Linked DNA regions of Caenorhabditis elegans. The protein of the gene in region 3 interacts with the protein of the main gene of each other region in a pairwise test. Each region holds a gene or a part of one and is shown on either strand. Other genes may lie near its edges.

The links.
Region 1: the proteins of mgl-1 (region 3) and nrfl-1 interact in a two-hybrid assay, tested with the Caenorhabditis elegans proteins (one study listed by BioGRID).
Region 2: the proteins of mgl-1 (region 3) and ptp-1 interact in a two-hybrid assay, tested with the Caenorhabditis elegans proteins (one study listed by BioGRID).

What each region holds. Positions count from the first base shown.
Region 1 is NC_003282.8:9,119,795-9,124,407, forward strand, and holds the start of nrfl-1 (Na(+)/H(+) exchange regulatory cofactor-like protein nrfl-1), read left to right. Parts: upstream 1-1,577; 5' UTR 1,578-1,686; coding exon 1,687-2,466; intron 2,467-3,483; exon of another isoform or gene 3,484-3,884; intron 3,885-4,010; exon of another isoform or gene 4,011-4,082; intron 4,083-4,613. UniProt on the Caenorhabditis elegans protein: Scaffold protein that connects plasma membrane proteins with members of the ezrin/moesin/radixin family and thereby helps to link them to the actin cytoskeleton and to regulate their surface expression.
Region 2 is NC_003281.10:3,589,193-3,593,759, forward strand, and holds the start of ptp-1 (Tyrosine-protein phosphatase 1), read left to right. Parts: upstream 1-1,531; 5' UTR 1,532-1,577; coding exon 1,578-1,715; intron 1,716-2,431; coding exon 2,432-2,548; intron 2,549-2,592; coding exon 2,593-2,809; intron 2,810-3,204; coding exon 3,205-3,331; intron 3,332-3,411; coding exon 3,412-3,658; intron 3,659-3,972; coding exon 3,973-4,199; intron 4,200-4,567.
Region 3 is NC_003284.9:9,973,266-9,977,935, reverse strand, and holds the start of mgl-1 (G-protein coupled receptors family 3 profile domain-containing protein), read left to right. Parts: upstream 1-1,629; coding exon 1,630-1,647; intron 1,648-1,707; exon of another isoform or gene 1,708-2,144; coding exon of another isoform or gene 2,145-2,153; intron 2,154-3,930; coding exon 3,931-4,014; intron 4,015-4,101; coding exon 4,102-4,137; intron 4,138-4,670. UniProt on the Caenorhabditis elegans protein: G-protein coupled receptor for glutamate. Ligand binding causes a conformation change that triggers signaling via guanine nucleotide-binding proteins (G proteins) and modulates the activity of down-stream effectors.

The sequences.
Region 1 (4,613 bases), on a different chromosome or scaffold from region 3:
GTCACTCGATTATTGGAGAAAATCACAAGAAGGTGGTTGAGCGCATAAAAGCAAATCCAAATCGATGTGAAATGCTTGTGATCTCTGAAGAAGGAGCTAAGTGGTACAATGAAAATAATGTTCAAATCACATTGGACCTTCCAAATATCGAACGAGTTTCTCCAATGGTTAGTCAAAATGTAGATTTTATCTTTACAAAATTAAAAAAAACAATTTTGTGTGACTTTTCTCATTCTCCTAACTTTATTTTAAATTCTAAAATTTTTAACATGTAAGATAAAAAAGTCTTCATTGTCGTGAAGAATGCAATATTCGTTTTTGACAGTAAAATTAGAAACATTTTCCATTTGTCTTATTTCCCTTTGTTGCGCCTAAAATCCCTTATGTTACCAATTGTCAGAGGAACTCCTGTCATCCGTCCAACAATTCTCCCCCGCCAAGTTCGTGGTACGCACCCACGTCATATTCACAGGTCAGTCTTTTTGCCTTTTCACATAATTTTCTCCTTTCTCCACTTTGTTTATTCCTCATTGTTATTTTGTAATTTTCAAACAGTATCGAATATCAAATAGTATAGCTGTAGTTGCTCATTGAGCATCATTTGTTTATTTGACACCTCTAGTTGCACTTGATCAACCGAACTTCGTATATCTACTGAGTCACACTGAACCATTTTTATGCGTCATTTTCATATGTTCTCACACTAAAAAAGGATTGACAAATATTTCGAGGTAGATAGACAGGGAGTCGATAGACAAGAAATGACGTCATTTTAGATGAAAGTTATAGGAACAATGAAAATTAAAAATTGGTAATTGAACCTGGGGAAATTGGAATTAACATTATTAATGGCTATGCAATTTTAGAACTGAAATTTTTAAAAAGTTATACAATATCCGATCTCAAATGAAGAAATGGAAATAAAAATTCTTGCAAAAAAATTGAATAATTTTTTTCTGTTTCATAAATAGTTAAAAGACTTATTCATAAATTTCAAAAATTCGGGAATTGCCTTTTCCGCACAAAAAATGTTTCCTCATTAAGGAAAACCCGTGGTTGGTTTGGAGACTATCTTGAAATTGTAATGCACATATTCTGTCATTCGATGATGCTTTATATAGTTTAGGCGATTGAAATCTGATTAAAACTTTTCTTTAGAACTCCATAAAAATATTTGATTTATTGCAAAAGTTTTGTAAACTTTTCTAAGTTCCTTGTAATATCTAAGTATTGCTAAGACATCATTTCTAGTCATCCACTTGTACTTTCTCTCCTCCAATTTTTGATTTACAATCTGATTCTCCATGCACTCCAAGACGTTCTCAACCATTATTCTTCAAACGGAACAACTTTTCGATGATTCTCGAATCGATGAAGAAACGGACGACACAATAGCGTTGGTTTTGTGTGTGTGTGCCTGTTTTGTATGTTAATATTCAATAAAAATATGAAGAAGATGGAAAAAGACGGGGCAAAGAATTTATGGGCCAAACCATACATATTCTATGCATTGAGGCACGAAGAGGGACAAAAAAGTTATATATCTTGACAAACAAAGGAATACCAAAAAGGCACTTTTGTTTGATTCACATTCCTTGGCTCTTCGGCACATCACTACAGTATTCTCAACTCTTATTCTCAGCTAAGAAATTTCAATTCTAAATCTGCATATTGCCTTCTTCAAACATGGATCGCAATCCATCTGAACCAGAAAGAATAGATTGGAAAAACCCAATCACGTGGATTTCGTATCTCTACACCTCTTTCGTGTACTATTTGTGGTTGATCTCCTCGCATCTACCACATCTCCCACAACCACAACGGATTACCGATGACAAATCAACGGAGCAGATCACCAGAGACGCAGGTATTCCGCGCACTGAGATAGTAACACGAGGAGATGCTACGCAGACAGTTAGACAAGTAGCGGGTCTAGGGGACCCAGCGCCAAAGGATTCATCATTATTGCCTCCCTCTTCGTCGTTCGTCTATTGCAACAACTGTCTAACACCTCATTCGTCTCAGAGGACTTGTTCTCCAGCCTACGTCTCTACTCTCTCAAGACAAAAGTCTTTGACGTTGCTAAAGAAATTGAAGAAACCCTCATCATCTGCTTCTTCCACCACTACCACCACATCATCGACTGTATCTTTCCGTGCACCTTCACGTGCATCATCAACGATCTCCGACGCTTCTACCATCCGCCCATCTGAACTCATTGCTATCGTTCCATCTGGTAGCCACGTGTTGCTGCGAGTTCCGAAACTTGATTGGAAAACTGAATCAATTCGAATCAAAAGAACTAGAATGAGTGATTGGATGGATGCGGAGCAACGGGATGTGATGAGACAATTTGATGAAGTTATAAGATCAGAAGAAGAAGACGAGAGGACCTCACGAAAAAGGAACGGAATCTTCAAAGATGGATCTGTAAGGAGTATTGAATCATTGGAATCTAGGAGTCGGGTGAGCACACGTTGTGATTTTGAAATATCGACTCAAAAATAAAACTTCTTTCTAACAATTATAAATTTAAAAGTTAGAGAATTATCTATTAGTATTGCACCCCCTTACTGTAGGCAGCTCATAACTGATTTTTCATTGATTTTATTATAATTTGACAACTTTCTACTTATAATCTATTTTACTATAATTTTTTAGTTAATAATTTTGTTGATGTCAGCAACTGTCTTTAAAATGAACCGATAGCTCCAAAGAAACGATGGAAAATTATATTTTACGGACCAAAGTTGATCCAAATTTTTTGCTGACAATTGTTCCTGTTTATTCAAAATTTAAAAATTTAAATTACACATTTTTTGGTTTGGGCTATAATTCATCATAAAACCATACTTCTTTAAAACGTGAAATCTCAACTTGTTTTACAGCATTTCAGATAAAATGCACACCGTAGAATTAATTGAAATGGTATTTCAACTGGTTTCTTTTCTTTGTTTTTCATCTTTCCCATACTGGTACGCGTGCCTATCCTTACCCAAATTCTTCAAAAACAATTTGATAAGGATTTCAGTATTTTTTCTTTAAATTGATTAGAGACCAACTTCGCCAAACTATCAATTGGGTACTATGTTTTATAAACTATTCCAACATTTGTTGAGGTATTCGTCATCCTCTTCAACTTTTTTCTTCAATATTTCCATTTTCTCCAAAAAGAATTTCATTTTCATATAAATACGAGTATCATTTCCTCTTCTTCATATTTCTGACTCATCTTTCCTCCATCTTCTCTTGCATACATTTCCAAAAATTTTGCCAACTTGCCAAGTAAACCGCAAACATACGAGAAAACTGTTAAAACTGTGTCTGCACTCTACGCACTCTCTCATTCAGCCTCTTGAAGCTTATGTATGTTTTGTTAAATGTGTGTTGTGGCATTGGCAAGAAAGGAGAGAGAAGGTAGATCATTTTTTATTGAGAAGAAAATGACAATGAAGAAGACAAGTAATAAAAAAATATGTTTAGTGCGAGAGAAACAGAACAAAATGATGATTTATGATCAAAATTGAGACATTAGAAAGTTGGAAGAGGAACTGTAAATTAAATGAGAAAATGGGATACAGAGATATGATAGCAGATAGATTTATGAGGTATTGATACGGAAAATAACATAAATATTGGAAGACTGGCGGACTGGAAATTTGCACAGTTCAATGTTAGGAAGATTGAAATGAGTGTAGAAAAACAACTCAAAGAGGAGTGTAAATTAATCAATAAATAGGTTATTATTTTTGACAATTAACACTTCAATAAATTGTGACATAATTAAAAATATGATGAAACAGAAATAGTTTTGGAAGACTAACGAGTTACCAGCATTCCAGTGTTTAACAGTATATTACAACTCGATGAAACATTCGAAAATTCTAAAATGGAAAATCGATTAAAATTTTTTACTCCTTTAAGAAATCTTGTTCGTAAGCCATATTCTCAGAGAGAACCAAATTCAAAAAAGTTGTCTGACTACAGTAATCCGCAACAATTCCACTTACCTATCATTCGTTACAAATCTTCCTCTTCGTTTCTTTGTCCTTTAATAAATGACCTTCATTTGAATATATCTAATTGGTCCTCCATTAGACACCTTCTTCCAATTGTTTTTTATCCTCCACCTGCCATGTCTTTATTTCAATCTGTCTGTGTCTCGTGCTCTCTCTCTCATTCAATAGAAAGATAGTTAACGAAGCATGACGCATTGGAATATCTTGCTTCACTAAAAGATTGCAACATTCCAATTCTATTAATTTTTACAAAAAACCAACAATCTTCTCCCATTCTTGTCATTTGTCATGTTTAGACACTTTCTCAAGTATTTTACTAATTTTCTTCAAAAAGTACACATTCATCAAACGTTGTATGTTCAATATTCTTTTCCTTCAAACAAACTTTGAATCTCATAAAATGTTTTGTGGTTTCGGAACATGTTAGAAATACAAATAACTTGTCGGAAAACTTTCACAAAACTTGAATTTTATTTCTTGGCATTTCCCAACATTGAAACGCATCTTGTAATCCGATATTTTTGGGACTTGTTTTTTATATTCACTTTTATTCGAAAGAATATCAGAAATAATATACATTAGACTATTTCAAGT
Region 2 (4,567 bases), on a different chromosome or scaffold from region 3:
CTCTTATTATACTCATCTTCAACTTTTTCTCCGTTTCCCGTGCCACGTCATCAATCAAAACTTCTCGGTGTGTATGTCACATATCCTAAGAGGGCCTAATAATTGCCTCCGATTCCATCCAATTTTTGGCGGCAGCGGAGTCCAGGTCCACTTTCATTCTATTTTCGCCCTCTCCTAAAGCACACAATTCGTTTTCTAACGTTTTTTTTTTCCTTTTTTCCTTCTTCTATTGGGTCCACTCCACTTCATAATGTGTTGTTGCTGGGGTGGAAGGAAGGAAGAAGAAGCTGTCCCAGTTTTCTCATTTATTCTATTTTTCCTTCATTCCATCTGGCTCCTTATCTCTTTGGGGTTCTCAAAATTAAAATTTGGCTTTGTTTCGTTCCTTCCCAAAGAATTTTCGCGCGTTATTTATTGAATTTCCTTGGGGGCTCCGCGAGCACTTTCGCCTCATTAGATGGAAAAAGTAATGTGTGGCAGGGTGATGTAGTCATGGATTTAGCACTTGGAGATTTGAATTTGGTGCGGTATTTTTAGAAAACTTTTTTCAAAAAGTTTTTTTGAAGTTTTTAATAGAAAAATATCAAGCTTTGCAACGTTTTTTCACCAATTTAGAGCATTTTTTCTTTCCTGGAGAAAATTGTTTCTCATTGAAATAAACAAATTTTGATAAAGCTTAGAATTTGCTCTTTGATTTTGGAAAAAAATTATTTTTTTTCGATTTTTTGGAATGTGTTCTTCTGTTTCAATAGTTCGAGTTTCGGCTAATTTTTAAATTTAAAAAAAAACACTCGAAATTAACTTTCAATTTTAAAAATTCCATATTAAAAAAAAACAATTTTTAGTAGAAATTCGTAATTTCAATTAGCTTTTTTTTTCCTAATTTCGCTGCAGCGCATTTTCTCAGTAGTATTTTTTGAATATTTTGTGCTGGAGTTTAAAGGATTTCATTTTCTAATAATTAGCCATTTGAAAAACATATTATTGACGAAATTGATAAATAAAAAAAAATATTTAAAAAAACTAAAACGCGAAGACATCTGCGGGCTTTTTTATTGGTTCTAAAATTTAATTTCTCCCAAAATTTTTTACAGACAGGGAACTATTTAAAAATAGATCTAATCCGACCAAAAATTAAAAAAAATCAATAAAACACCCCGCCCATATAATGGCTCTTAACTGCATTAGCCTCTCCCTAAACTCTCAGAATTTGAGTCCATCCGTCCACTACTACTAGTCCTTCCTATTCTTCTTATGTTGCACTTATGTTCCAAAATCTTCAATTTCTTGCTACATTTATCCCTTTCTTTGACCACTCTCTCTCATCTGTTTTTCATTTCCCTATTCCTATTTTTTGAGGCTTTTCCTCCTCCCGGCTAAACAAAAAAAACTATAAATTGAGCAGCAAATTGGTTTTGTCTCTCGCTCACTCAGCTGACCTCGTCGAACATCTCTTCGAAAGTTTTTGTTTTTGTTTTCCTCCGCTTCCTATCTCTCTCTTTGCCTGTCTCTTCACTCATTTTTAACTATTTCAGACGGCTTCTGTTCCTTTTTGCACAATAATGACATAAGCAGCTATGCGTCTCGGATCGAATAGTTACGATGTACAGAGGACGGAGGCAATTGGTCAAACGCCTGTCAAGACACCGCCTCCAAATCAGATCCGATGTACAGTTACCTTCCTTGATAGCACTTCTTATCATTTTGAAATTGAGGTGAGAGGTTTTTTTAATGTAATTATTATTTTTGAAAGCTTGGCTTTATGAGAAAATTTGACGTACTTGTACGGAAAATTTGTATTTTTTTCAGCTATAAAAGAAATCTAGGAGATGATTCAAAAAGCCTTTGACTGACAAATTATATTGTTTATGATTTGGAGAATTTTTCGTAAATTTTCCAAAAATTTGTAGAACATTTTTATTTGGAAAAATTAAAATTTGAATTTCGCGCCAATATTTTTGAAAAATCAAAATGGGGCTTCTTCATTGCGCTCACTTCTGTTGAGGCTGAGCAAGCTGTATATTATAAATTTGAAAGTTTTAAAACTTTTTTTAGAAACTCAAAGTTTTCCGCATATTGTTAATTGATAATTTTTCATGGAATTTTTTTGAAAAGAAAATATCAATTTTGCAAAAAAAATAGTTGTTAATCGTATAAATTTCCACATTTTCAACTAAAATATCTTTTAATTGACTTCATTTTTGTATTTTTGTATTGAATCAAAATATATTCCAATTTGAAATATTCAAGATGGTATTTACTTGGCATCAACAACTTTCAATTAGCCGGTTGTTTTCGATTTCAGTTAAGAAAAAAGTGCAGAAGAAGTGCATTAAATTCTTATATGATTCACCAGGTCTACTGTGCCTACCTACATTCACGTAGGCAGGTAGGTAGGCAGGCCGCAGGAAACAAGTTACTCAATTTTCAGAAAAACTCCCTGGGAATCGTACTTTTAGAAAAAGTATTCAACTATTTGGAGATTATCGAAAAAGATTATTTTGGCCTCGTCTTCATTGCAGTCGATAATTCTAGTGCTCAGCAGAAGGTTTTTTCAACTTTCCAAGGCTTTTCCTACAATAATAATTTCAGAAATGGCTGGATCCGTCGAAAAACTTGCGAAAACAAATGATTTGCCCACCGTATCATTTGTTCTTCCGTGTCAAATTCTACGTACGGGACCCGAATCGTCTACGAGACGAGTTTACGAGGTTCCAATTCTATCAACAAGTTAGGCAGAATTTGGAAGAAGGAAGGCTGCCGTGTAATGAAGGATCACTTGCGTTGTTGGCTAGTTATGTGGTACAAGGTTAGTGAGAAGGTGTGCCTGCCTGCCTACGCCTACCTACGATCCCTTTGTAGGCATGTGCGTAGGCATTATTGTGCCTTCTATAGACTATAGTTGCGCATATGATCTGATGTTTTTGGTTTGTAATTGCAAATTTTGTATACACCATATTTGACGAGCAAATTTCAAATGTTTAATGCATCACAATTGACGCGCAAGTTTCATATGATGCATTTGGTCCGTAATTTCAGTATTCGAATGCACCATGTTTGATGAGAAAATGTTCAAATTTCAAAGATTCTGCTCTGCTCAGTGTCATGGTTCTAATGCATCAGATGTGACGCGCAATTTTTTTTTGTTCACAGTACCATATTCCACGCAAAATCGAAATTTGATAATAAAACTGATTTTTACAGCGGAAGTCGGAGACTTTGAGGAGAAAACTCATGGAATGTCCCGGACGTGTCTGTGCTACAAAATTCAATTTGCTACTCTTCCAGATGATTTTTCGGATCGCGTCGCAGAACTTCATCAGCTTCATATGTAGGTTTTTTAGGATTTTATGGAAGGCAGGCAAATCTGTATACCTACATCAAATGCCTTTTATCCTGATTTTTTTTCAGCGGTCAAACCCCTGACGTAGCAGAGCAGAACTTTCTTGACCACGCGCGGCGTCTCGAAATGTACGGAATGGATGTTTATGACGGAGTGGACGCAAATCATCTTCCGATCGAAATTGGAGTAGGAGCAGTTGGAATTAAAGTATTTCACGAGGGAATCAAGATGAATGAGTACGCGTGGGTACGAATAAGAAAACTTAGCTTCAAGAAAAAACAATTTCAAGTTTTGGTGGCTAATGAGGATGGAGTGGTGAGTTTTTGGCTATGGAATCTGTGAAAAAATTCGCCTAAAAAACTAAAAGTATATAGCACAATTTATTCCAATTTTGAAAATTAGGCAATAGGCAGGCACGTAGGCATAATTTTAAGTTTGTGCAAAAAAGTATGACGTATTGGTGCGTTATTTGCCTTGTTTTCAATTAGAACCTTGATGCCTCATATTACACACAAAAAAAAACAATTAGATTCGGAGAGACTTTATGAAAAAAAATTTCTTTTTTTTAAATTATGGCTGAACTTTGACGTACAAATTTCTAATATTCGGTTACAAAATCCTAATTTCAGAGCGAAACAATCATGATCTTCAACATCATGTCCGCGAAAATCTGCAAACTTCTCTGGAAATGCTGCATCGAGCAGCACACGTTCTTCCGGCTGAAAACTCCTCCAAAAACGCCGCAAAGGAAGGTTTTCAACTTTGGATCGAAATTCCGATATAGTGGACGAACCGAATATCAGACACTTGAGGAGAATGAGCATCGGAAGTCAGCTGGACATCGGAATTTTCATAGGTGAGAATTTATCTTTGAAAATTGATTTAGAAATTAAAATTTTGAAAAAGCCACCCCATAGCTGGTCGTGGAACAGTTTTCATGGCAAGGTCACTCCCCCCCCCCCCTTTACAGTAACCCTGACACTGCTCAAAATTCAAAGTTTTGTCTATTTTGATCTAATTATAGTTTGCTGTATATCCAGTTGTCCCTTTTTGTTTTCGTTTTTGAGAAAACAAATTATGATCCCTATAAAAAATTGGGCCCATGACCACGTTATTCACATATTTTTCTAGAAATGAGCCTTGAAAATTCCGATATTCTCAATGCAGGCGATAGGTTAATTTATTTTTAAAAAGTATAAAAAATTCAGCGCAACATGTCAACAT
Region 3 (4,670 bases):
CCTAAGGATTTTCTCCTTGTTTTTGTCTGCCTGTTCTTCCTTCTCATTTTGTCTCGTATTCTTTTCCTTCTGTGTGTGTTTTTCTTTTGCTACGTCTCCAACATATATTATGTTACCTTGTTCCCTCTACTTACTTAATAGCTTCAGAACTCGCATTAATTTCATTTTTAATTCATTGAGAAATTTAAAACCCCAGTTGCAAAAAAGGAGGCCGCAAGCTCTTTTCCGCAACATTATGGACTCTGAATGGACATCGCTTGACTCTCCTTTTTGTTCGGAAATTTGATTCTTCAGCATAAGTTTTGCTTGTAAAATCCTCCACTAGAAGGCGTCTTCAATGACAGAGTTGAAACGACATCATAGTTTGACCTATGCTTTATTGAACTTTTATTTTCCTATTTAAAAATTTTATAAACTTTTTTTTTGTTTTTGTTCACAGCAATTGCGAAGGTTTTTAGAAATCTAAAAAAATGAATCGTCTAACGGACGATTCATTTTTTCCCGCAAATTAGGCTGAAAACTGTATGTGAAATAATTTTTTTTTTTCACAAGTTTATGGTAATTTTTTACAGCATCGTAGTTACGTTTATACATTTAGAACTGATTCCCAATCAAAAAATTAACATTAATCATACGGAGGTCGCAAGTCAAGAACCTTCATCTTCGAGGAATATCAGAAACTCATACATCTTCTAGATATAATTGTAAAATTTGGTTCAGTAAAAAGAATTTTGCAAATTGTAGTTTATTTATTTTCAGATTTTTTAAAGACACAGTCGGTTTAATAAAAGTGAAAACAGTAATCTGATTTGAAAATCCAAACCATATTGAAATGTTTTAAATAATTCAGCAGATTATTGTTCACAATACGCATTAGAATAAAACTGAATTCGACGAATATTCAAAATTTCCGGATGCCTAGAGATCAAAAAAAAATTGAGGTGCCGACAAAAGCTGTACCAATCGTTGTCTGTTGTTCACTCTCACCATCATCACTTGTTTTCTTCGTCTTCCAACTTTAAAATTCAGTACTAGATAGAAGTGCCGTTCTCCTCATCCATTCCGTTTTTTCCAGCTCAGTTCTTTTCTGCTTGCTACTCATCGCATTCATCGTATCACCACTACCACACCTCAGTAGAATTTCGCAAAAAAAATGACGAGTTATAAATCTAAGATCTCATTCTTTTCTATTCCCACTTATTTCTATTCTGTGGCCAGCTCTGGAGTCCACATTTTAATGAGTTATCTTCCGCGTCAGAAGGGCAGATTCCGGCTGTCTTTTTGGTTCTTGGTCGCTTCATTAATTCTTCCTTATGCATATTTTTGAGTTAGTGGTTTTTTTGCAACTGACAACACTTTAGAATTTTGTATTTGATGCACTGGTAACATTCATAGAGATTAAGACGTGATTTATGTATCAGAATTAAGATGACTCGTTTAAAACAATTCTGAACAATTAGAAACAGATTGATAACTTTATCACTTTATTGATCGTACTGATTTTAGCTACCGTTTATATGTAATTTTTTTTTTGATTTTGCAGAACTTGGAGACCTTCAATATTGATATCTATCTGTTATCAGAAATTCTTATGGAGCAGTATTCACTTCTTTAACAAAAATCACATTCATGAGGCAAACATTTCGGGTAAGGTATGTTTTTATTTTCCAACACATGCAAATCTTGCTTCTAGAAAGAATAAAAGTGCGCCCTTATTGAGAATTATGGAAATTTTTGTCGCGTGCGACCGGCTTCTGATGTAGCGTTTGAGGAGAGGAGCAGATGAAGGCAGGTCCTTCCGGCGCCGCCCGGATTTGGATTCCTTCTTTGCTGCTTACTCCTACTGCTCCGAAAATTGGCTAGAGGTCGACGAAATGGGTGGAGACCGGCGGTCCCCTTCAGAAAACGACAGACATGCAAACGACACATATGAATGTATATAGGGAACAAGAGTTTCCATACTCATAGTGCTCATTAGAATAGCACGGATCGTGTTTCGCCTCTCGCCTTGTTAACCGAATCTGCCCCCGTGTGCCCCGGCTGCTTGTGTTGTGTCACACAAGACTAACGCCCTCTTATCCTTTCCATTCTCTTAAAATCCATTTCTAGAGTTGAAAACTTTATTTTTATTCAATACTCAAATCATGGTACCGGTAAGCGAAAGTTTATTTTAATAAATAAATGGGGAAAGCCCATCACAATTGGGCTGGTAATGGCGACAATTATTAACTGAAAAATATAGACGTCGTCCCAGACTCATGACATAAAGACTATTATTAGTTAACTCACTCACTTTCATTGAAACTTATAATGAGCCCTCGAAAACCGTTCCATTCTCTCATCTCACAAATATTGCCCTAAATTTCAAACTTTCAAAAATGTTAGACTGTTGACCTCGAGTAAATTTCAAACTTATACTAACAACATATATAATTGGAAGTTACTGTTAGGTAAAGTGTCACTACTAAATGAAAAATTGAAACGTAATGTAAAATGAAACACATTGAAAAAAGAAATGATGAAAACCTCAGAATTCTAATCGAAAATAGTAAATCTGCGCTGAGCAAAAAAAAAATATGACTTTTAAAAATACAAATAATTGTCCGTGGAGTGCATTTTCAAAATTGTTGCCAATTAAACCAATATCAAAACTGTTACAAAAACTATTATTTTTGAGGAAGAAAAATGAAGTAAATACATACACTTTTAAAAAGTTTTTTGATTCCTTTAGGGATTGTACAATTCTTCACTTTCAAATAATATGTTCGTTTTTTCTTACTTTACACAATTACAACCGTTACGTGATAACGCCATGTGAATAAAACACTTTCCAAAATTATGAACTGCCAAATTTGAAAAATGTATACACAAAACTGGGTGTTTTTGAACGTTTTGGTTTCTTTTTTTTTGTGATAATTAAATTCGGAGATCAATTATTCTTGATTCATGCTCTGCTCCCAACTCCAAAGTATTTTTTTTTGTTGAATAAGTACAAGAAGCCAAGTAGGTGTCAGCAACTTGTATAGGGAGATTATTTTTTTATGATCCCATCCTTTTTTGAGATAACTTACCTACCGATTAGAACATTCTTTACAATAACTTTGTAAAAAGTCATTTATTGCCTTTTATTTTGTGCACAAATCCAAATCCTTTACAAATACACCAGACAACTTTTTCCTCCCACCTAATTTTATAAGACAGTTTTTGTTATGTAATGTTTCTTTTTTTTCCCATTTTCTCCCATTATTGGTTTCCTCCCGTTAAGAATCTCGAATTTCTACGCACACGTCGCCGCCGCAAAAATACGTAATAGGGGTGGCGGTGGCATAGAATCTTCCTTTCATTTTTCGTTTCTTCAACTTTTTTCCTACACATCGGCGGCTCATTGTTAAATCCATTCTTTTGAGAGGGAGAAGATGCTTGAATCCAAATCGAAAAAACACATTATGGCCCATTAGTATGTACATGGATGATAGGAAAATGAGTTCCGAAATTTTTTGGAACAAAAACTATAAGAAAAAAATCGCGAAATAATGGACAAAAAATGGAGTCTTGAGCAACGCTGGTTGCATCTGCTCAACCAACAGTTCCTTGATTGTCTTAACCATTTGTTTAATCACTACCGCCGGTTGTTTTAAGACTATTGTACATCTGAGACTCTTTTATATACCAAAAATTGTAACAATTGTAGAAATACAAAAAAAAACCTACGGTAGTACTGAAATTTATTTGTATTTTCCGCACTACCCATTAACCATTTCGATTTAAATAAATTATCGTTTTACATCGATTAATTCGCAATCACGCCAAAATCCTTGTGGGTTTTCATGACAGGAAAAATGAAAAATAGTCATAGTGTGGATAGCGCGTGGGAAACAAAGACAACTTCATTTTGTTTCCGTTCTTTTTTCTAGCTTGTCAACTTTTCAGAAACCCCCTTCAATAATTCGACACATGTTCTCGGTGCTTGCACTTGCTATACAGATACTTGCAAATGTCAATGTGGTTGCACAGGTAACTTCAATTTTTTGCATAGATTTTAAATTTCATTTTATTTTACAAACTTTACAACAAAAAAAAACAAAAAAAGAGATCTTTCAGACAACGGAAGCCGTCGACCTCGCTCCACCTCCAAAAGTTAGTTCTTTTATGGTTATTTGATACTTTGTGGGCTCATTAGTCATGTGAATATGAACGTTTCTCGACTTCCAAAATTTTCTTCAAAAGATGTTTGAACTGCAAAAGTATTTATACTAAATTGAGGACTTCCGGGGTTGAGAGTATTGAAAATGTCACTTGCATTTACGCTTGGGTTCAAAGTTTTTTTTGACAAAATTTTGCCCTTTGTAGATGTTTGCAGCTGTTTTAAATACTTCTCAAAGAAAACAACTACATAAAGTTAACATTTTTCAAATTAACATTTTATCAAGAGTTATTATGATGAGCTGGGGATTAGTTTTAATTTATCCTATACTCAATAAGCTTAGAAGTTGTGTTCTATGATGTTTTGGAAATCATAGTCAAATAATGCACCGAGGCTGAATTATTCAAAGAAATCAAACTTATGTGTAGTGTTTTCGCAGATCTCACGTTAATTTTAGAAACATCATTGTATGATTGTAAAATCGTTGTAAAATGAACAAACTGACCGTAACACGAACTTTGTTTCA